3 linked regions of the Pelodiscus sinensis genome follow. The protein of the gene in region 1 interacts with the protein of each later gene in a pairwise test. Links are inferred from orthologs where the notes say so. Each region holds a gene or a part of one and is shown in the gene's direction. Other genes may lie near its edges.

Region 1 (8,038 bases):
TTGTTCCCTTGGGGTGTTCAACAAATGTTCTTATTTATACTCATCCATCACATATCCCCTTCTTTGACAGCCAAAATGGCTTGTCCCATTGATGGGACTGGGTGCAGTGTAGTTTCTAGAATCAGAGACTCTTCACAAGTTTGTAAATCCCATTCCCTAAAACACCTTCAGGGCCACTTCATGAAAACAAATCAGTTTTTCTAGACAATTGTAACTAGGGATGTTAAAAAGCGGTTAATTAAGTAACCACTGAAAATTGTAGCAGAATGGATTATAGGTCATGAAGGGAGCTGAGAGGATAGTGTATGAAGTGTGATTTGTGTATTTTCAAGTACGGAGCCAGATCTGGCTACTTAGGTTTAGCAAGTGTTTAGTTTCTGACTTGGTAAAAAAAAAAAAAATGCTGAAAAGGTAATTAATTTCTGTTGTTCGGACGTAAATCAAATTGAAGTTGGGTGAGCAAGGAAGATTGGAGCAGTGGCTGAAATGTCCTCTTAGGCTTGTCCATTTGGTTTCTTCTGCCATCCTAGCCATCCAGTGTACTGTACTTTGAGCAGATCAGCAGTATCCTGTGCTGGGTTTCATCTCCCTTCCTTTTCCAAAACCTGTCTTAACCTTTGATCCTCGGTCTTTGGGACACTCTTCTCTCCTCCAGATCTGTACTGCCCACGGATGCTTCTTATGAAAAACATGCATGTATTGTGGGTTTTTTTGCACTCTCCCAACAGCTCTGCTGCAGAGGAAAGTGGAGGAGGTGACGAAAGTTTGCGAGAGCCGCCGAAAGGAACAGGAACGCAGTTTTCGGATCACGTTTGATTGAGCAATCCAAGAAATCGCTACTGCTATAATATTTACTGGATAGCCATTATGTAAAAACTTTGCGAAAATGGAGTAAAATTGTGATATCCTCTTGGTGTTTTTTTGTTTTAATAAAGTGCTTTTTTGTGTCAAACCTCCTATACTGATTCACACCATAGATTGCATGGAGCTTCTTAGTTCTGCAGCATTTCTGTGAATTTTTTTTTGTACATATGTTTCATTCATTTAACTCAGTTATTGTTTGCTGACTTTTTAGAATATTTTAAACCCCAAGAAGTGACAGGGATAACCTCTCCAGCTCAGTATTACATTAAAATCGGACTTATGACGATGTACATTCAGATCTAAGCTTTGCATATGCTATTGTATTACTTGCATTTTGAAAAAGTTATTTCATGTTTGCCACTGAGTCAGATCATCAAACTGATGGAAGTCACTGGCAAAGTGACTTTAACCAGTTTGTTAAAGTGGTAAACCAGCTTTGGAAAGCAATAGCCTCTTGTGCAGATAACATTTAGTTCATTTCAGCTTATTCAACTGTTTCAGTTCAGTGATTAGTTCATTAAATGTTAAGATGATTGGGAGTTGAGGTGGAGCCAGGGCCTGCTTGTTTTCTCTTCCACTCTATGACAAAGTGTGAGCAGATGGTGACCAGAAGCAATAGTTCCATTCAAGTACAGATAATACTTCCTTTGTTTTAATAAGTTTTAAATGCAAACAGGTTTTGATAAACTTCTTTTCTTATGTATCTAGCACTTGTAAGTTTGTTTTTTCTTTGGTTAAATAAAACTAAAATGTTGGGGTTCGGGGACATTTTTAATTGAATTCCACATTCCATAAATAGAGCTTGACAGCAATCACATGTGAAAATGTAATCTACTAAAGAAGTGTACTATTTACCATTTTCTGACCTGAGTAAATATTAATCTTTTATTGTAAGATATAAAATGATTTAAATGTGTATAAATAGTGTATCCTGATGAGCCAAAAGTACCACATTTAGTGTATTTTGTTGCATAACATTGCTCTAATAAGAATCAGCCTCTCTTTAGCAAACCAACTAAACTACTAATGTAAAACAAGGTTGAAAGTGGTAAATTAAAACAAAGGTTCCTGCTTGTTTACTTAAACTAATCCATGCTAAACTGGGCCTGTTTCCACTTCTGAAACCACGGCCTGCATTCTGCCATCTGCAATAAGTTGGGTGCTCCCTTCATGCTTGTATCCCAGTCTTTTCTGAGATGTCATAATTCTATGCATTTTCTTTTCTGATTCAAAGATCATGAGATTGCAGGTAAATTGTTGGAGGTGTCCTGGTCCCTAGGGTTAGAGAAAGTGGGTGAGATGATAAATATATTTTATTGGACAGGCTGATGTTGGTGAAAGAAACAAGTTTTTGAGTTACTCCAAGACCTGAAGAGCTGTTTGTGACTAGTGGGGGTACCTTGCTGATTGCTAGGCTTGGGCTGTGAGTGAGCCACACTGGCTGCTGTCTGTACCACGGCCCAGTAGAGTAGCTGATGGGACAGGGAGGTGACCTGTTCGACCAGTTACCCCCCAGAGAGCGGAACAAAGGAAGGTGGAATGCTGCCCCTGGCTGGGGGCAGGGCTGGCAGGGACGGGTCTTTAGTGGCTGTCTGGGAAGCAGGGGAGAAGGAGCTAGGGAGGGGGTTGGGATTGTAGGGCCCAGCTACCCCCCATCTCAAGGAGGGGCACTGAGGCCTCTTAGCCCCAGGCCCTGTAACCAGATTACATCTGTGCTGTGCTGTGCTGTATCCTGGAGGAGCAATAAACGCCCTCTATTCTACTGGCTGGTGGAGTCTGTCCGTGCCATTACGGGGGTGCAGGAAACGGGAAAACCCCAACGTGCTGTCACACTGTATATAGCTTGAACATAGTCTTGCATCAACATCAGCTGGCCTAATGAAAGATGTTACTTCACTCACCTTGTCTCTTCAGAGGAAAATTGGCATTTCAGCAACACTTAGCCCTGGGGTGGGCAATAAGCAGCCATGGGCCACATGTGGTCTGCCACGGTTAGCCTCTGGCAGACTGCCAGATACTTTATTTACCTGCAGGTCCACAGGTATGGCCTCTTGCAGTTCCCATTGATCATGGTTTGCTGTTCCCAGCCAATGAGAGCTGGGGAAAGTTGTGGCTCAGCCCATGGGATGCTTATTGTCCACCTTAACTTAGCCCCAGATCCACAAAGATATTTGACTTCAGTGGAAATTAGGAACCTGAATGTATTTGTTGATCTGGGTCTTATTCTTGAGCACTTGTAGTGTTCAATGAATTCTATACCATATGTGGACCATGGGGGCAAGTGGCAGTGGACATCTATATTCTTTGTTGTTTTAGACTGAATTTATATGTTGTTTGTAGGAAGGTGGTGAAACTGGATTGAGCTTAGTTTGTACAAAGATTTGCTCAGATACAAGGTGTATAGAATTTACTGTTGCACTAATAAGAAAACAAACACCAGGCATGCTGATAGGCTGGAGAGATGCAGCTTCCCTTCTCAGTGCTCTCTAACTCAGCGTCATGGAGTAGAAATGACTGTCTCCAGCCAACTTATAAGATTGAAAGATAGAGTTGGTAATACAGTCTACCCTTCCCTCTCCCTTGGTTTGCCCTATCGCTTTAGCTGGCCCATCACTTTAGCTGATGCTCCTGATGTTTACTGAGGTTAATAAACTTAAACAACCAATAGTCTGGTAGCACTTTAAAGACTAACAAAACTTGTAGATGGTATTGTGAGCTGTCATGGTCTGAAGAAGTGGGCTGTGCCTACAAAAGCTCATGATACCATCTACATCAGGCCTGCACAACATGCAGCCCGCAGGGGCTCACTGTGTGGCCCCATCCGATCCGCTGGCTGGACAGAGAAGGGGAGCGGGAAGTGTGATTATCGCCACCAGGCTGCCTAGGTGCAGCTCTGGCGCGAGGAGGCGGGGTGTGAGCCAGAGGGCGGGATGCTGGCAGATGCCAGGACGCTGGCGTGACATGATGTCACGGTCAGTGATCGCTGGATTCAAAAAGGCAGAAGCCAGGTAGGGGAGGAGAAGGGGCTTGTGCTGAGGGGAGAGGGGCAGGTCAGGAGAAAGGGGAAGACACCAAGCGGGGATAGGGTGAAGGAGAGACGAAATGTCATGGGGCCAAGTGTAGACTTGTGGCCCGCAGCTGTCTTCTTTGGAGTAATATGGCCCTTGTTGCTTTCCGAGTTCGGCAGGCTTGACTTATAAGATTGCAAGATAGAGCTGGTAATACAGTCTACCCTTCCCTCTCCATTGGTTTGTCCTATCACTTTAGCTGACCCATCACTTGAGCTGATGCTCCTGATGTTTGCTGAGGTTAATAAGCTTAAAAAACAACTAATAGTCTGGTAGCACTTTAAAGACTAACAAAACGTATGGTATCACGAGCTTTTGTGCGCACAGCCCACTTCTTCAGACCACAACAGCTCATGATCCCATCCACATGTTTTGTGAGTCTTTAAAGTGCTACCAGACTATTTGTTGTTTTTTAAGTTTATCCTGTACAGACTAACTCAGCTACCCCCTGAAGTTACACTAGTGCCCGGTCAGGAACAGGCCTGCAGTTGCTATACATATAAAGCCCTTTTTGCGGAAAAGCATCTGTGCCAATCTAGAGGCTTTTCCGCAAAAAAGCCCTGATCGCCATTTTTGCGATCGGGTCTTTTTTGTGCAAAACAAATCTGAGCTGTCTACACTGGCCCTTTTGCGCAGAAGGACTTTTGCCTGAACGGGAGCAGCATAGTATTTCTGCAAGAAGCACTGATTTCAGACAGTAAGAAGTCTGTTCTTGCAGAAATTCAAGCGGCCAGTGTAGACAGCTGGCAAGTTTTTCCACAAAAGCGTTTGTTTTTGCGGAAAAACTTGCCAGTCTAGACCCAGCCTCAGTGTAAGAAGGACTTGCTGGTGTCTGTATGGCGCTTGGCTCGATCATGGCTGGTGCCTGTCACACCATACTCAACATGCTGACTAATAGCAGGCCATGCTGGGGCTCAGGCACCCCAATCTAGCTGTGAGGAAGCCCCTGGGATCTGCTGCATGGGGAGCAGGGCTGGGCGCAGGGAAGAAGAGGACAGGCCCCCGTGTTGCCAGCTTGCAGGACTCCCCTGCGGGTTAGCGACGGGGGCAGGGCTGAGCTTCACTGTACTACAACTCCCAGAAGCCCATGGGGCGGGGCCCGCCTCGCTCGTTCACGCGGGTTGCGCGGTGCTGCTGGGAGTTGCAGTCCAGGCCCTGAGCTGGAAGGGGCCGGAGCCATGCGCAGGTGAGGGGGAGGCTTCCGGGAATCATGTAGCCGGACGGGCGCTGCGCTGGGGAAGAAGGGAGATGCGGGGGGGGGGGGGAGAGCGTGGAGTTCGGGGTGCACTCAGGGGAGGGGCAGCGGGGGGAGGAAGGCTGGGGATGCAGCATTGGGGTGCTCTGGGAGGAAGGATGGGGGGCTGTGGAGTTCGGGGTGCACGGAGGGGAGGTGGGGGAGGAAGGATGGGGGTAGGGCCTGTGGAGTTCGGGGTGCACTCGGGAGGAAGGATGGGGATAGAGGCTGTGGAGTTTGGGGTGCACTCAGGGGAGGGGAGGTAGGGGAGGAAGAATGGGGTGCTCTGGGAGGAAGGATGGGGGGCTGTGGAGTTCGGGGTGCACGGAGGGGAGGTGGGGGAGGAAGGATGGGGTGCTATGGGAGGAAGGATGGAGGGCTGTGGAGTTCGGGGTGCACAGAGAGGAGGTGGGGGAGGAAGGATGGGGTGCTCTGGGAGGAAGAATGGGGGGCTGTGGAGTTCGGGGTGCACGGAGGGGAGGTGGGGGAGGAAGGATGGGGTGCTCTGGGAGGAAGGATGGGAGGTAGGGCCTGTGGAGTTTGGGGTGCACTCAGGGGAGGAGAGGTAGGGGAGGAAGGATGGGGTGCTCTGGGAGGAAGAATGGAGGGCTGTGGAGTTCGGGGTGCACGGAGGGGAGGTGGGGGAGGAAGGATGGGGTGCTCTGGGAGGAAGGATGGGGGGTAGGGGCTGTGGAGTTGGGGGTGCTCTGGGGGAGGAAGAGTGGGGGTTGAGGGCGCTCTGGGGGGATGGTTTCCTTGTACACAGTTTCCTGTGAGACTAATGCAGGCAGCTGTTTGTACAGGAATCCCAGCGTTGCCAACACTTGTGATTGTATCTTGTGCGAATCCCACAATACTTAGCGTTTTTCTTAAAGCCTGGAAGCAAGACAGGGCAAGGACATCTCCGGTCCCTTTCAGTACCCTTGACACGATACGCTAAAAGCTTCGGTGAGATGCGGGGGCGTCTTTCCCAAGGGCAAACTCTGGTAGAGATTTTTTAAAAGGAAGTTCCAGTTTAACACAGGGCTCCAGACTAAGCTGGCACGACAACCAATAATAGAAGATAAAATAAAAGATCATAATGCAGCTGTACAAATATGCCCACACCTTGAATACTGGGTGCAGTTCTGGTTGCCCCACCTCTAAAAAGAATACAAGAACTGGAAAAAGCAGTGAGAAGGGCAACAAAAATGATAAGGGAACAACTTCCCTCTGAGGAGAAATTAAAAGGCCTGGCACAGTGCATCTGAGCAAAGAGATGACTATGAGCAGATATGACAGAAGTCTATACTATTACGCATGGTGCAGAGAAAGCGAATCGGGAAGGCATTACCCCATCACATAACAAGAACTAGGAGTCGTCCAATGAAATTAGTAGGCAGCAGGCTTAAAACAAACATAAGGAAGTAGGTCTTCACCCAATGCACGGTCAGTCTGTGGAACTTGTTTGCAAAGTCTGTTGTGAAGGCCAAAAGTATAACTGGGTTCAGAAGAGATTAGTTCATGGAGGATAGAGCCATCAGTGCCAATTAGCCAAGGTGATCAGGAGCCCAACTCCATGATGAGCATGTCCTGAAACCTCTGATTGCCAGAAAGCCTGGACACTGGGCTGGATCAATTGAAATTGGCCCTGTCTTGTTCATTCCCTCTGAAGCATCTAGTACCAGCCAAGGTCAGAAAGAGCATATTGGCCTTGATGGACCATTGCTCTGATCCGTGTGGCTGCTCTTATACCAGCGCGTCTCTAGGGGTCAACGGAATTGAAGCTTTCATTTCAAAACAAATGGAAGTTTCTAGCTGTGATTGTTGTGGAGAAGCCCAGATGTTGCCCAGTGCCTGGCTCACCGCCTGAGCTGAGAGGCAGCCTGACAACAGCGGCCCGAAGATAGTAGTGGGCTGCTTCATTCATACCAATACAGTATTAAAGCCTAAATCGTAATACGGGTCAGACGTCTGCGCTGTTACCATTTCACTGCTCACCACTTCAGCAGAAACAGCCTTTAAGATTGTGAATGGGGCTTGAGAAGTAAATCAGCAATTTCTTCCCGTCCCCTATTCTGACCTTGGTACAGGCGCTGAGAGACGGAAACAATCACAGAACAGTAGATAACAATGGCCTTTAAAATTCGGTACGAAATAACAAACGTGGGGCACTATTCCATGCATGGAGCAAGTTCTCCCTTAAGAAAGGCCGGTTGCTAATCCAGTTTGTAACTACGTTCTAGCATGCCGCCAACTTCCTGCTTTCTTTGACCGTCTCCGCTGGCTTTGTGTTTGATTTGGAGGTTGCTTTTTTTTCCTTTTTGCACTGAATCATTTGAAGCTAGGCAGGAGTCATTTATGAAAGTAGATCTTCTGTAACTAAACATTACAGGATGACGGATGACTAAAAAGATGATGCTTGTGGGATATTTTAAAAATCATCTGTGCATCTTTCTAATGGACATCAGTGAGGCATTCTGCCTTGCCGGTTATTTCTAGTTCCCTCTTGTTCTGGATAGCCCATCTGGACTATCTCACTGATTTCCTTGTGTTCTAACAAAGGGCTGGAAAGCAGAATATGAATACGCTTGATGTGGAGGTGTAGGGAGTAAAGCACTCTCGGCAACTTACTGACTTACTCGCTGTTTTTTTTCTGAGCCCAGGGTCAACAGCAGCCTGTCTAGTGATGACCTTCTTCTGGAGGATTTGGAGACAGAAGGAGAGCGGCAGCTGAAGAGCCTCCTTCACCATCAGCTTGAGACTGCTGTTTCCATTGAACAGTGAGTATTGAACCAGCCGGCTACGCACAAGAGGCTGGTGTAGCTGATGGCCTCCCATGCTGGCGGACAGAGCACGTTCTGATTCTGGAGCAGCATTGATGCTGTCGCAT
Region 2 (7,894 bases), on another chromosome or scaffold:
ACCGTTACTCCTCATTTCACGCGGAGTAACGGTAGTTCGAACTAGGAAGCCTAGTTCGAACTACCTAGTTCGTGCCCCGTGTAGCCGCGCTGCACGGGGTACGAACCAGCGGAGTTTTAAAAATGGCGGCTCCCCGCTTATGCAAATTAAGCCTGGGAAATTCAAATCCCGGGCTTCATTTGCAAGTGCAGTATGCCTACATTACCCCGCTAGTTCGAACTAGCGGGGTAGTGTAGACATACCCATAGAGTTCTTTGAAGGAGTTAACAAACATGCGGACAAGGGGGATCCAGTAGATATAGTATACTTGGATTTTCAGAAAGCCTTTGACAAGGTCCCTCACCAAAGGCTCTTGTGTAAATTACATGGCCATGGGATAAGAGGGAAAGTCCTTTCTTGAATTGAGAACTGGTTAAAAGACAGGAAACAAAGGGTAGGAATAAATGGTAAATTTTCAGATTGGAGAGGGGTAACTAGTGGTGCACCCCAAGGGTCAGTCCTGGGACCAATCCTTTTCAACTTATTCATAAATGATCTGGAGAAAGGGGTAAGCAGTGAGGTAGTAAAGTTTGCAGATGATACCAAACTGTCTAGGATAGTCAAGACAGAAGCAGACTGTGAAGGACTCCAAGAAGATCTCACCAAACTGAGTGATTGGGCAACAAAATGGCAAATGAAATTTAATGTGGATAAGTGTAAAGTAATGCACATCGGGAAAAATAACCCCAACTATACATACAGTACGATGGGGGCTAATTTGGCTACGACAAATCAGGAAAGAGATCTTGGAGTTATCGTGGACAGTTCTCTGAAAACTTCCACACAGAGTGCAGCGGTTGTCAAAAAGGCAAATAGGAATTATTAGGAAAGGGATAGAAAATAAGACCCAGAATATCTTACTGCCCCTGTATAAAACTATGGTACGCCCACATCTTGAATACTGTGTACAGATGTGGTCTCCTCACCTCAAAAAAGATATTTTGGCCTTGGAAAGGGTTAAGAAAAGGGCAACTAAAATGATTAGGGGTTTGGAACGGGTCCCATATGAGGAGAGGTTAAAGCGACTGGAACTTTTCAGTTTAGAAAAGAGGAGACTGAGGGGGGATATGATAGAGGTCTATAAAATCATGAGTGGTATGGAGAGGGCTGATAAAGAAACGTTATTTATTAGTTCCCATAATAGAAGAACTAGAGGACACCAAATGAAATTAATGGGTAGCAGGTTTAAAACTAATAAAAGAAAGTTCTTCTTCACACAGCGTGTAGTCAACCTGTGGAACTCCTTGCCAGAGGAGGCTGTGATGGCTAGGACTATAATAGAGTTTAAAGAGAAGCTGGATAAATTCATGGAAGTTAGGTCCATAAAAGGCTATTAGCCAGGGGATAAAATGGTGTCCTTGGCCTCTGTTTGTCAGAGGCTGGAGAGGGATGGCAGGAGACAAATCGCTTGATCATTGTCTTCGGTCCACCCTCTCTGGGGCACCTGGTGCTGGCCACTGTCGGTAGACAGGATACTGGGCTAGATGGACCTTTGGTCTGACCCAGTACGGCCGTTCTTATGTAGGAGTTCTTGAAGAGACTCACAGGCAGATAGACAGACATACACACATTTCTAAAATCTATTGTAAGATATATATTTTCCGACTAAAATGCCATTTATGTTACACATAACATTTATATGTTATATGAGGTTTATATGTTACATTTAACCAGTTAACCAGGATCCTGCAGGCGGGGGGCCCAGCTGGTCTGGGTGGCCCCTTGCCATGCCACCGGCTGCTTGGGCGAGGCCTGCCATACCATGCCATGGTTGGAGAGCTGCTCCAGCCTGGCCAGGCCTATCTTGTCATGCTGGGCTGACCACTCCTCAGCCATGGTATGGCATGGTGGGCTCAGCTGGATTAAAATGACCGCTGCCCATGACAAGGCTGCATCCGCCCCCCAGGCTGCATCAGGTGGGGGTCTGCTCCAACCCGGGTGGGCTGTCTGTTAACTGGTTAGCCCTTTACATCCCTACTTCTTACCTCTGTGATTTCCACTCCATAAATCAGACAAAGTGGTTTTGACCCACGAAATATTATGCCCAAATAAATCTTTAAGATGCCACAGGACTCCACATTTTTACAGATAAAAACTAGCATGACTTCTCCTCTGAGGCCTATCCAAAGAGTGAAATTTTGGAAGAGCCTTCTAAGGGAAACTGTGGGGAAAACAAAACAAAACAAAACAAAACAAAAAAACAAAAAAAATTGTTCCAAGACAGAACTTGACAAGTTTATGGAGGGGATGGTTGATGATGATGTTAATCATTGTACTACCCACAAGGACACATGACCCATTCATGACTGCTATTAGTAAATATCTCTAAAAGACAGAAAGAAGACAATAGACAAGGAGGGCTGCATCTGGCTGGTGGGTCTTGCCCAAATGTGGAGGATTTACTCAGGCCTGGGCAAAATACAGCCTGTGGCATGGATCTGGCCCACCAATCCACCAGATCTGACCCGCTGAGGGAGCAGGGAGCCCCAGGCAGGCTCCTCTGCTTGCCCTGCAGCCCCGTGTGCCATTTACAAATGAGGCTTCAGGGCTCCATTTCTGTTTTGAAACAGGAAGGGAAGGGGGAAGTTTCAGGAGCTGCCATTGGCTGGTTTCTGGCTAGAAACCAGCCAATGGGAGCTGTTTGTTAGTATAACAGGCAGCCAAGAAGAACTATGCTCTCTCTTCTCGGCTCAGTTATTCAATGAAGCACATGGCCAGGGAAGCAGGCTGGCTGGCTGGGAAATGTTTTAAGCTCGGCAGGCAGGCTAGTTTGGCAGCTGACAGGCAAGTCTCTTGGCCACACCCTGTTTCTAGCACCCCAGCACTTTCCTGCCCCAACCCTCTGACTCCCACTCAACATACCCAAACCCTCTGTCCCCCTCTTACACCCAAACCCTCTCCAGATCTGGCACCCCAATCTTCTTTCCCAGATCACATTACCCTCCTACTCTAGGTCACATCCCCAAGCCCTGCACTTCAGTTGCTTGCCCTAGGTTACAACTGCCTCCTTCACTCAAACTCCCTCCCAGACTCTAATCTCCTCCTGCATCCCAATCAATTACCCCAAGCTCCCTTCTGTACCCTACCTCCATCCCAGATTCCACATCTCCTCCATTAACATCATGGAAGAGTGCGGCCCTTGACCACTTTCCAAAATCTTGGAGTGGCCCCCTGTCAAAAATTATTGCCCACCCCTAAGCTAATTGATTTGGGGTTGAGAAGGATTGTTTTCCCTAAGTCAGATTGACAGAAACCTGAGGGGAGGGAAGTTCTCCTTCCTCTGCAGCATGGAACACAGATCACTTGCTGGTTTGAACTAAAATAAATGGTGGGTAACTTAAGAGTCTTTAAATCTAGGGTCTTGTGTTCACTGGCATGTTTTGTCATTCAAAACTGCCTTTTAGCAACAAAACATTAAGCGTGTTTACACTGCAGTGCTACGTTTGTTGGGGAAAACATCTAGCTTTGGCAACAAAAAACTTCCAGTCCTGCCAGAGATTTTTGTCTTTTCCTCTCCTTTTATTTTCGACAAAGAGCTAGTGTGGACTCTGTTGTTTGCTTTTTTTCCCCAGAGAACTGACTTCCCTCTGTCACACTGCCTGCTTCCATGGCTGTGGTTTGTGAGCTCTGCTACCCTGCAGGCATGCACCCCTCATCTTTCAAAGCCCTGAGAAATATCCGACAGTTGAATGAGCTGCTTTGTTTGGGGAAAAAACAAAGAGCAAATCATTGTAATGCTTCTGTTCTGTCCCGCTAGAAACACAGCAGCAGGCAGATTGCTACTGCAGGGGGCAGACTGGAGAGACTGCTGTGCTGCTTTGACATTCCTCTGCATGGAGAATTCACAGAGCTGCTCTCAGCATCTGAGAATGTTGTGGGAGAACTAAGGAGCACAGGTATCAGCTCTGCCTTCCCACACACTGCATTGTGGGATGCGGGTCCATGGAGGTACTAGCAATATGGCCATGGAATGTCAACAATGGGAAGCAGAAAAACCAGTTGGACCATTTTTCACTTTTGGCACTTTTGCATGTTGACCACACTTTTGTTGCCAATCTTTCCCAGAGTAGATATAGCCTAGATTTGAAGACTTCCCCCACAGTGTATTCCTGGTTTGAATGCACATAGCTTTGTGACTAGATGATCATGATGGCCCCTTCTGAAGTAAACAAAAAACCTACACAACTCTCACACAGTCTTAAGTATGAGTGACAGCCTGGGATAGTTCTTGCTTACTTTATAGTCTGGAACACCATGCTTTAGTCACTCTTGAATAAAACCTCAGGAGAGCGAGGGGCACAGGAAGGGATCCTTGATTATAGGGAATGCCCTTTAGCTAACACAGGATCCCGTTAAACATGAGCAAGGATGCGGAACAACAGGCTCACCTACCATCCAGCTGAAAGAGTTAACCTGCCGAGGAACTAGCCGTCTGCGTGATGATGCATTGCTGCTTCCCTGCCTAGCACAGGCTGCCTGCAAAGCGCTCTCCCAGAACAGCTCTTCTGGAGTCACTTGTTTGACTTGCCTCTGCCAATAACTTTGTTATTAAAAACAAGAGCCCCCCTCAGCACCAAGGCAAACACTGAGCAGAGGCCAGGAAAGCAAAAACAAAGTAGAGAAATAATGAACGCGTCTCTCGGCACTTTCTAATTTCTGTCCAGCTGCAAACGTGAACATGTGAGCACGCTCTGGACAAGCATCGCTTGGGGCTTGCACTTGGCCGGAGCCGAGCCATCCCCAGCAGAAAGTACAGCTACCGACCGCTCAGCCTCTCTGCCTCCGTGCAGTGGCGAGCGGCGCTGGAGACGCGCTGACTTGCACTGACACTTGCCACTCAGTCCGGCCCTCGGCAACCTAGAAAGAAGGGGAGATTTATGGAGCAGGTAATTTGGGAGCACCGGAAGCTGCAGCGATAACTTTGAGGTGAGGAGGCAGCAAGTTGTAGCTCCGACATACACACACAGGCAGCTGCTCCCGCTCGCACGGTCTCCGCTTTCAACTCCCCTCCGCCTCGCTCGCCCGCGCCCCTGACTTAGCCGCGCGGGTGTGTGTGTGTGGGTGGGTGTGTGTGCGGCGCGTGGCGCTGGGGCGAGAGGCACCTGCTTGGCTCGCGCTGCTGCCGCCGCGCAAGCAGCCGAGGCGCCAGCTCCTGCCGCTAGCTGCGGGCTCCAGCCTCCCGCTCGCTTCTGCCGCCGCCACCGCCGTGGGAGTGAATTGGGCTGCTCCAGCGGGGCGAACCCCTTCCCCCTGCCTGCGAGTCAGCCTGGCTGCGAATCACGTGTCCGCTGCCTGAGGCAGAGACTAGAGAGGAGGGGGGGGGGGGAAGCGCCTCATTCCTTCTTCCACCGCCATACTGTATTTTATAGTAACTCATTTTTATTCCTCTCTTTTACTCCCGCTCGGTGAGTACCTTTCCGCTGACATTCTTGTCCTCTTTTTTTGTCCTGTTTTTTTCTTCCTTTTTTATTTTTCTTCTTTTTTTCTTCCTCTTTGATTATTGTTTCCAGGGATTTGATCCTTTTTCTGATGCCAAGTTTTTTGTTTTTGTTTTTGTTTTTCTTCTTCTTCTTAGCATGCGATGGTTACTAGACTGTGAGCAAAAGGTGCTGCTGGGGCTGGGAGTCACTGGGAATTGAGCAATGCAATAACATTTAAGACTTACCAGTCCAGCAAAAATATAGCTATATATACAATTATTAGCGCTAGCTCTAGATATGCAACTGGTTTTGTTATGGCCCGAGAAAAAGAAAGCAATGTGAAATATTGTGCGTTTTTTTAAAGATGAGGAGAAAAGGCATGTTTCTAACTCTTTTGCAGAGAATTTTTCCAAATGTTGTTTTGATGTTTTTTCATTTTTATTTTTATTTTTTTTGTATATAGATGTGAATTGCAAATGCATTTTACAGCAGTGTTTACAAAGAGTTTGTGATCTTGCAATACTGGTGCAGGCCACTGAGCAAGATGTTAATTTTATTATTTTTGGTTGTTTCCTTTTTTTGACACTCGGTGCAATCAGCAGTTTTTGTTCTTTTTTGCTTTGATGCCCGTTTATAACGTGAAACTTTTCTTGCAGCTTGTTAGAGTTGATCATTTTTTAATACTTTTTCCTCCTTAAAAAAGCCAAACAAACAAAAAAGCCAAAGCAATGATCGTTACTTTTGCACATTTGACTTTTTTATTCTTTTACCGAGATAATTTTATTATGATGATTATGATGATAGATATGCACATATATACAAATAAATACATTTTAAAATGATGGCAGTGGAAGGTTTTCCTGGAGAATGAAGTGCGGGTTGGTTTCCTTGTCAACGGAAGATGAAGTGAACAACTGAACATCTCCCCAGTGCAGGTACTTCATCTCCTTGTAGGCGTTTCCACTCTTTTGTAAATTACGTTACGAGAATAATAATAATTATTAATAATAATTATGTAAAATTCTCGATCCCTCGCTAAATATGTGTTCTCAATTAAATGAAGACGAAACTAAATTTCTGCCTCTTGATTACTCGAATGTGTCCAAAATGCTGCACTAATTGAGCCCAGGTCGGTTAGTCTGTGTGTGATAGTTTATGTACTATCCTAGACATGCGGGTACCCAGCTGACAAACCTGAATTGAACCGGGAGATGCAAGTTATGAGCAGGGAGCGTCTAGGGCTTAAAAATAACTGGACTGGATTGTGAGGAAGAAAAGAGAGAGAAATAGAGAGAGAAAGAGACTCGAGTTTTAAAAAATGCCTATTATAAAATCATAGGTGGCTGTGAGAGATACAGCAGCAGCAGTCCGTCAGAGAAACTGGCTCACTGCCATATGAGTCTGACACATATTCCAAATCCATAACGATAACAATCCTCTTATTTCTAATTTATGCTCCCCTTATTAACAAGGACTAATCAAGGCAGAAAGCAGGTCATTTCTGCCAGGTTTACCTCATTGGGGTAGTGATTAATTATAAGCAGATACATATTTTGAGGTGTTTCCTTTTGTTTTGGTGATTATTAATGCTACTGTCTGACAGGGCATAGGAATCAGCTACTTTTTCTCTGACTGTCGCTGAAAGTTCAAGATTAGGGAAGAAACTGTTACTTTGCTTTAATAGGACTTAGCTGCTTAACAAGCTCCTAAACTGTTCTGGATTTAGAGAAGTTGATATACTAAATATGATATTGAAAGCGTTTTCCATCTCAGTTTTTTCCAGAAAGAGAGAGCTGAGTATTTTATCAAAATTGAGGTGCTGAATGCTTGAATCTGCAGTCTTATGCGTGATACACTTTATTGTGATGATGCTGTTGAGTGTATTCTCTATGAATAGATTTCAGGGAAACTTGGTCAGAAAAATTTCCTCAGCATTTAAGCATTGAAAACAAAGCATCTTTTACGTAATACTTTTTTGTAGATGTAAAAAGAAATATTCTGTCTATTTTTCATTTATAAGACTAAAATGCTTTGGAAGTTAGAAACTTTGTATACATATTTACTTTCCTGGAACTTGCAAATACTTTGCTCTTTAAACTGATTCTCCCCCCCCTCGTCCCTGCAATTTAGTTATATTGTGTAGAAAAGTGTCTATTCTACATGCCTGCTGGGCTTTTACAACAACACAGAATTAATTTGCTATTGAGTTAATAATCCATATTTCAAAAAATCACTATATTTACATGATAGATTATAATACTGTTTTTGGAGTAGTTACAATCTACTAAGAGTCAATAACTCACATTTTAAGAAGTCCCAGACTTCTGCCTTGATTTAGGCTTGTAAGGATTAGATTTGTATCAGTAACTATTGATAAATGTCCTTTTCATTATCCACATACATATTGATGAAAAATATCTGCAGATTTGTAATGG
Region 3 (7,371 bases), on another chromosome or scaffold:
AATACCTTGCAATATAGTGTATAGAAATATTATTACAATAATGGGTGTAAATTCAGAGGTGAATGCAGTCTCACTGAATATTTCAAAATAAAAAAAACACCTTTGCCCTGTGTTTCATAAAGGGAGGTGGTTGCATATGATGATCCTAGAATTCCATTATTTAATACTGATTTGGATAAGCTGGAAGGAAAACCACCACCTATTCTTGCTACAGGTAAGAGTAACAACTTTTCTGCAGGTATTTATACACTGTTAAGTATAAAGTTTGACCTAACTACTGCTTTGAAGTTGTAACTGCTACATATCACACACGTTGAATGTAAACATAAATAGGTTATATTTGACAAAACATCAACCTATAATGTTCAAAAGGATGTGCTTAAAATTAGTCTCCTAAATAAGTCACCTGATTCTCAAAAGTACAAGCATTTGCTCAGCAAATCATACTAACTACATTATACTGTGTAGAAAATTAAATGCATATGCTTAGCATTAAGCACAAGAGGGACAGACTTAGGCCAGAATTCAGCAAAGCACTTCACCATGTGCTTGACTTCAAGCATGTGAATATTCTCCTTCAACTTTATTGGGATTTCTTTTGTGCTTAATTGAAGTTCAGTGGGAGACTTGTGTGCTTTAAGTGCATGGATTAGTGTTTTACCTAACTGTGGGTGGGGCTAAAATTATAACTGAGAAAATGCTTACAATAGGATTGATAATATGATAGCGGAAGAGTATCTCAAATATTATTTGTTAAAACTGGAATTACTAAATGTAATATTTGTTTCTAGGAGAATTAGTATAGTTTAAAAGTTTAAGAACTTTAACATCTCATGATTCTGTTATAGAAACTTTTGAATAAAGTACACATCCAACTATGACATATAGGCCTTACTACTTCAGTCCTGGGTTGTAGGAAGGAGAGGAAAATAGACTTGAAATATCAAATTGTTGTATGACAAAAAGGAAGAATTTTAAAATAAAATTAGCTACCATAAATAATAAAACTTTACTTTTTCCATTGTGGGCAAACTCTGCATCACACATCTGCCACTTACGTGAAAGTTGTAGCATTGATTGAATTTCACAGAACATTTCAGTGGTTGATAAATGAATTTTTGGATTTCTTAAATTGCACATGCCCTTCAGCCCAATTTAAATAATGCCCAGAGGAGATATACTATATGTGCCAATTATTCTTTCCTTTCTTATGTAATAGAAGGTAAATTCAAGGCTTTGAAGATGGAATTCTCTCTTCCCCCATCCACTTATGCTACCATGGCAATTCGAGAAGTTCTAAAAATGGACACAAGCATAAAAAACCAGACACAGCTGAATACTACATGGTTACGCTGAACAAATGCTCTAAAGTAATGTAAAGATTTTAAGATGTGAAAATTTATTTGTTCTGTGCAAACTCTAGTTTTGATTTGAAGATTTGTAGCAAAAATTTATATTTTACTTTTTTATTAGTTTCAGTGATTATATCCAAAATGGTGTTTGTAAAAATAATATAAATATTAGATTTTTAACATTATGATAAGTAAATAAGGTGCTTGAGCTGTAGCACAACCAACCATATCTTACAAATAAATGGGCTTACAATAGCAATTCCAGATCTTCAGTAATTGTTTTTCCAAAAATACAGTGATTATTCAACATGCTTTCATGAATTCAGCACAGAATAAAACTTCTTGAAGTATGCTTACATTACAGATGAGGAATGCTAATTAGAATAAGTATGGCACTGATGAATATTTATAAAAAGGAGTACATTAATGTAGCCTTAGAAGGCCAGTAGCTTTAGCACTGATGTGGTAAAGGAGTCTACTGGCAGAATTTTTTGTGCCTTTTATGTGATATAAACATGTACATCTGTTTTTATAAGTTGAGCTGTAAATTTTATTATGAAAATATTTGTGTGCATTTTCCCTCATCACTAGTACTACCTGTATCAAAGAACAGATAATGAAAACAAGTTAACCAAAAAGCCCTGATGAGAGTTCATATCAACTCCTTTGCACCAGCATGATTAGTGTGTCCGTTGCCGGCAATGGATAAGGAAAGCAAATCTGTGTCTTGGCATAAAAGGATTAAAAAGCCATTCTAAAACAATTGACAGCAGTTAGGTTACATTTTTACTTTATAATTTCTAAAACCAAACAAATAAGAAACCTGTTTGTGCTTCTTGTGTTAATAAATTGTTAAATATGACACTTTGCACTGTCATTTTTATAAAAAACTGAATAAGATTTTGCATACCAACAATATGAAAATGTTAGCACCTCACTTTTAGGAAAATATGCAGTGTTGCCAGCCCCATACGGTAAGAGAACCTGCTTTAGTACAGAAATAAAAACCCCTCTGACCACATACACCTCTAGTTACCGCCTTTCTCCTCCCACCTTGAACCCATATGGGTATCAGAGAAATCTTTCATGAGCCTTTTTTTCTCACCTTCAAATAACCTCCCAACCTCTCTATGGTCATAATTAGAAACCAGGATATAGCAGATCAAAGCATGAGACCCAACCAGAACAACTGAATCAATCCTTGGATGCATAGCTCCACTGTTACAATGATCTCTCTCACACACATGCACAGGCACACACGCCCCTGTCACAATAGAGCAAAGGCTTTGATACGATCTTCCACAATATTCTTGCTAGCAAGTTAAGGGAATATGGATTGGATAAATGGACTGTAAGATGGATAGAAAGCTGGCTAGACTGTCTGGCCCAGTGGGTAGTAATCAATGGCTCGATGTCAGGTTGGTTTTCTAGCGGAGTGCCCCAAGGATCTGTTCTAGGACAGGTTTTGTTCAACATCTTTATTAATGACCTGGATGAAAGGATGGATAGTTTGCAGATGACACTAAGCTGGGGGGAAGGGATAGGGTCCAGAGTGACCTAAACAGATTAGAGGATTGGGCCAAAAGAGATCTGATGAGGTTCAACGAGGACATGTGTAGAGTCCTGCACTTGGGACGGAAGAATCCCAGGCATTGTTACAGGCTGGGGACCGAATCGCTAAGTAGTAGTTCTGCAGAAAAGGTCCTGGGGATTACAGTGGATGAGAAGCAGGATATGAGTCAACAGTGTGCCCTTGTAGTGAAGAGGGCTAATGGCATATTAGGGTGCATTAGGAGGAGCATTGCCAGCAGATCCAGAAGTGATTATTCCCCTTTATTCAGCTCTGGTGAGGCCACAACTGGAGTATTGTGTCCAGTTCTGGGCCCCCCACTGTAGAAAGGATGTGGACACATTGGAGAGGGGCCAGCGGAGGGTGACCAAAACTATTAGGAGGCTGGAGTGCATGACCTATGAGGGAGAGACTGAGGGATTTGGGTCTGTTTAGTCTGCAGAAGAGATGGGGGATTTGATAGCAGCCTTCAACTTCCTGAAGGGAGGTTTCAAAGAGGATGGAGAGAGGCTGTTCACAGTAGTGACAGATGGCAGAACAAGGAGCAATGGTCTCATGTTACAGTGGGGGAGGTCTAGGTTGGATATTAGGAAAAACTATTCCAGTAGGAGATGGTGAAGCACTGGAATGGGTTAGTAGGGAGGTGAAGTCTCCATCCCTAGAGGTGTTTAAGTCTCGGCTTGACAAAGCCCTGGCTGGGTTGATCTAGTTGGGGCTGGTCCTGCCTTTGGTCTCTTCCAGCTCTATGATTCTATATGAGCCTCCCGTTAACTGCAAAGAGGCCTAGAACCCCCTATGCCCCCAGCCCCCACTTTCCATTGACATAACGGCTGCAGTCCGGCAACCCAACCGCAGGGCGCGCAGGCGCGAGTTCGCAGCGTCGCGAGACAGGACGTGATCCGCTCCCTCCCTGTGCCTGGGGCTCGGAGACCTAGGGCCAGGCTCCCCCAGACCCACTGTCCCCAAAGCGAGGCATCAACCGGCTCAGCTCGCGCCGTAAAATCCAGAGCGTCCTCGCGCTACAGATGGCGACAACGACATAGTGACACGAGCGGATTTCTCACCGCGCATGCGTCTTGAGTGGCAGGGCTGTCAGCACGTGATCTTGATGGGCTGGACAGAGGCTTCCGAGAGTAATAGCCTTCCGCTTCCCCTCCTCCCTGACTCTGCCCACTTCTCGCGGGACTCCGCGAGGGTTTCCGGCCGCCCTTAGGCGGCTATAGGCAGGGACGGAACTGGAGAGGAGAGGGGGCCGGGCAGCTTAGCCCAGCCCAGCCCGTAGGCGATCAGTGGCGCGTGAGTAAATCGGGCCCGTGCCCTGGCGAGCCGGTAGAGCGGCGCTCGCGCCTGATGTCAGCGGGTGAGGGGGACTTAGCTCCCGGCAGGCAGCGGGGCTTGGTAGGGAGCAGGGCTGCATGCGGGGGCGCTACTCGGTACCATGGGCGGGCGAACAGCGTGCGGGGCCAGAGGGAGCGCGGCAGGCTGAGGAGCCCCCGTGGTTGGCGAGACGCTCTCTTCTCCCTGTCAGAGCGGGTGGGGTGGAGGAGCAGCAGCTACCCTGCCTCTCTCTCCAGTGAGCAGCGGAGGGGAGGAGGGTTTGCTCGAGTCGCCCTGCGTGGCGGATCGTCATTGTGCGCCCGCTTCTCTGGAGCAGTGGGTCGTTAAGACTTGCTGAGGGTTTACACGGCGCGGGAGGAGTTTTAGTTATGTCGCTGGGAGGAGTGGGGTGAAGTGAAAATGCCCCCCACACACACACACGTTTACATTGTTTTAAAGCAGTGTCTACATCTAGGTGTAGAGCCGGGCCAGCTCTATGTTGACAGGCAGCACTCTCCTTCTGGTATAACTCCCGCTTCTCCTTGAGCTGGAGTAATTAGTCCTCAGGCAGTGTAGCATCTTCGCCAGACTCGTTACATTAGGGCTGCTGCATTGATGTAGAGGCGGCCAGTTTGGTACAGTAGTGCAGACCTGCCTTGAAACTGGGCCTGTTCTGCTTAGCTCAACATCATGCATTGAACACTAGGAGAATGTAATTACTCTGGGCCTCATAATCCAGAGTCCAGAACACAGTGCTGTCTGGGGCTTGGTCCAAGATGGTGGAATGAATTTCTACAGCAATTAAGAGTCACCACAAGCCGTGTGACCTTTTGCTTTCAGTAAAAGGTACTCTGTGTAGATCTGCAATTTTTAAAAAATGTATAAGCATTCAAAATAGTCATGCAATGAGCATGCCTAAGAGTAATGAAAAATTTGAGTGGAAATAGTGATTGGTAAAATGATTTTGTTATAACATACTTTTTAGTATGTTATCATATGGTAATAAAGGCTTTATAGAAATTACCTTCTGCGATCATGCTGTAATATCATAAGTGAAAAACAATATTCCAAAATATTCAGTCTTTGTCTTCAGAGTTTTTCAGTTAAGACTATATATAGGCTAGTAGTAGTGAAATAGATTTTAGGTAACAGCAAAGTTTTCTTCATGACATTAGGTTCACAGTAGTGTCCAAGACAGGGCTACTCAACATGCGGCCTGGGGCCGATGGATGGGAGCCGAAACAAAAAAGTATTCTATATAATGGTCTCCTGTTGATATGCGTTTTAGTAGTTAAATTCCTGGACTGTCATTGTTCATTAAAAGTGCTCTCATATGGGTGGAAATCGGATAAATACTGCATTTTATAAATAGCAGAACTGACTTAAATTGTGCCTGTGTGTTGTGTAGTCTTGCCTTAATCTTTGTATTCATGTCTGTCAGTTTTAAATAAGCTATTGGCATATATTTGCATATATATTTGCATGTGTATGCTACCACAGTAATGTTGCGGCCCTCAGCACTTGCTGTGAGTATAATTGTGGCCCCTGGGGCTTCCAGAGTTGAGTAGTGCCGTCTAAGGCATGTTCATAGTTAGAAGAAAGAAAATAAAACTTGTGCTATAAAAAGTAGGGATGTGAATATTAAACCAGGTAACTAGCTGATGTTTACCAGGACACTCCTCTATTAGCAATGATATATCCACCAGTTAAAAGTGCTGGAACATTTTTACTATGTGTAGGGGTGAGGGAAGTCATCTGTACCTATTCCAATATTTTTATACATACCATCTAGCACAGACGTAAAAACATTGAATTTGGTTTTAGAAAAAAATGCAGTATTCTGAGTGAAAGCTGACTGATTTCTCTGCATAGTTGGAATGTTTCAGTTCTGTTGAGTGATATAATGGTATAATGTCCTTAGTAGTGTGTATAATAATATCATTTTGTAAACTTAAGCCCTGGTTCTGCCAAGACTTATGCATGTGGCTATCTTTAAGCATTTGTGTAGTTGAATGGAAGATGGTATTTTTAATTGATTTGAACTGAATTGAAATTTTTAAGATGAAATTTTGTTTGGCCCATTACATATGATGGTTTATGGTGGTTAATAGTGCTGTGTGGGTGATGGCTAACCGTAGACTCTTTAACTCAGTCCTGCAGGTGATGTAAACATGGCGGCCATTAATGTTGGAAGGGAACAATTCGTTAGAGACCCCGATAGCTGTGACATCCCTTATTATGTAGCTGAATTTGTTGAAAGAGAAGTTGGAACTGACCTTAATTGCCTAAGGAAACTTGGCAAACTTATAGAGGAGCTTTCAGAAAATAAAAAGCAATTAGAGGAACAGGTAAGCATTAGATTAGTTATTTCTCAAGTCCTTAAAACAATAAAAATGTACCATCAATTGCATACATCTGGTCACATCAGCACATTTTGGTAACTTGCCACACAATGTCAGCTAAGCTGTCATGTTATGATTATCTCTTGCACTTTGTTATGCATGAAAATCTATGAAAGACACATTTGTTTGATCACTGAAAGAAAGGTCTCAGTACTTCTGTGTCAGATGCATTGCTCCTTCCTAAACACAGGTACTTACCGTTTCATCAGAAGTTCCCAAAAGAATTCAGAAGGCCTTAAAGAATGCAGAGGATTCTAAGACGTCTCTTAATCAGCTTCTGGAGGAAGAAACTGTTTTATTTGGTTCAATTAATAGCCACCTATTGACAGCTCAGCCATGGATGAAGGATCTCGGTGTACTGATTAGTCAAATAGAAGAGGTTGAACGACACCTGGCTTATCTAAAATGGATTTCACAAATAGAAGAGTTAAGGTAAAATAGTTAGAAGGCCAGGTTGGCCTATCTTGTTGCCTTGTATTTTGTTTAGAGCTTAAGTGGTGTTAAATACATTTGAGACAATTTTGGAGTTATAAATCTGTATTTTTAAATGCAGACAGTTATAACTCTTGCTAATTCAGCTACCGACTGAACATTCAGATCTCATATTGATAATGCCATTACTTTCATTTGTAACTAAATTTGGTGATGTATTTTGGACATGGGAATGAAAGGGTCACAGTTTACTGTCTAATGTAGAAAATGTGGCGTTTGTCACAATTGAATATAAACT

What was found.
Region 2: the proteins of RBM41 (region 1) and RALYL interact in binary tests that used the Homo sapiens proteins (3 or more experiments, as listed by UniProt). The two-hybrid records come from large-scale screens. The link is inferred for Pelodiscus sinensis from reciprocal best matches to the Homo sapiens genes RBM41 and RALYL.
Region 3: the proteins of RBM41 (region 1) and RINT1 interact in binary tests that used the Homo sapiens proteins (3 or more experiments, as listed by UniProt). The two-hybrid records come from large-scale screens. The link is inferred for Pelodiscus sinensis from reciprocal best matches to the Homo sapiens genes RBM41 and RINT1.

What each region holds. Positions count from the first base shown.
Region 1 is NC_134723.1:4,116,930-4,124,967, reverse strand, and holds the start of RBM41 (RNA-binding protein 41), read left to right. Parts: upstream 1-4,977; 5' UTR 4,978-5,110; coding exon 5,111-5,118; intron 5,119-7,811; coding exon 7,812-7,928; intron 7,929-8,038. Other genes in the region: NUP62CL (nucleoporin-62 C-terminal-like protein), read left to right, coding at 729-820. UniProt on the Homo sapiens protein: May bind RNA.
Region 2 is NC_134712.1:47,014,400-47,022,293, reverse strand, and holds the start of RALYL (RNA-binding Raly-like protein), read left to right. Parts: upstream 1-4,828; 5' UTR 4,829-4,965; intron 4,966-5,141; exon of another isoform or gene 5,142-5,444; intron 5,445-6,307; exon of another isoform or gene 6,308-6,394; intron 6,395-7,894.
Region 3 is NC_134711.1:25,491,219-25,498,589, forward strand, and holds the start of RINT1 (RAD50-interacting protein 1), read left to right. Parts: upstream 1-4,331; 5' UTR 4,332-4,337; coding exon 4,338-4,495; intron 4,496-4,525; exon of another isoform or gene 4,526-5,085; intron 5,086-6,391; coding exon 6,392-6,587; intron 6,588-6,831; coding exon 6,832-7,073; intron 7,074-7,371. Other genes in the region: PUS7 (pseudouridylate synthase 7 homolog), read left to right, coding at 123-214, 1,220-1,356. UniProt on the Homo sapiens protein: Involved in regulation of membrane traffic between the Golgi and the endoplasmic reticulum (ER); the function is proposed to depend on its association in the NRZ complex which is believed to play a role in SNARE assembly at the ER.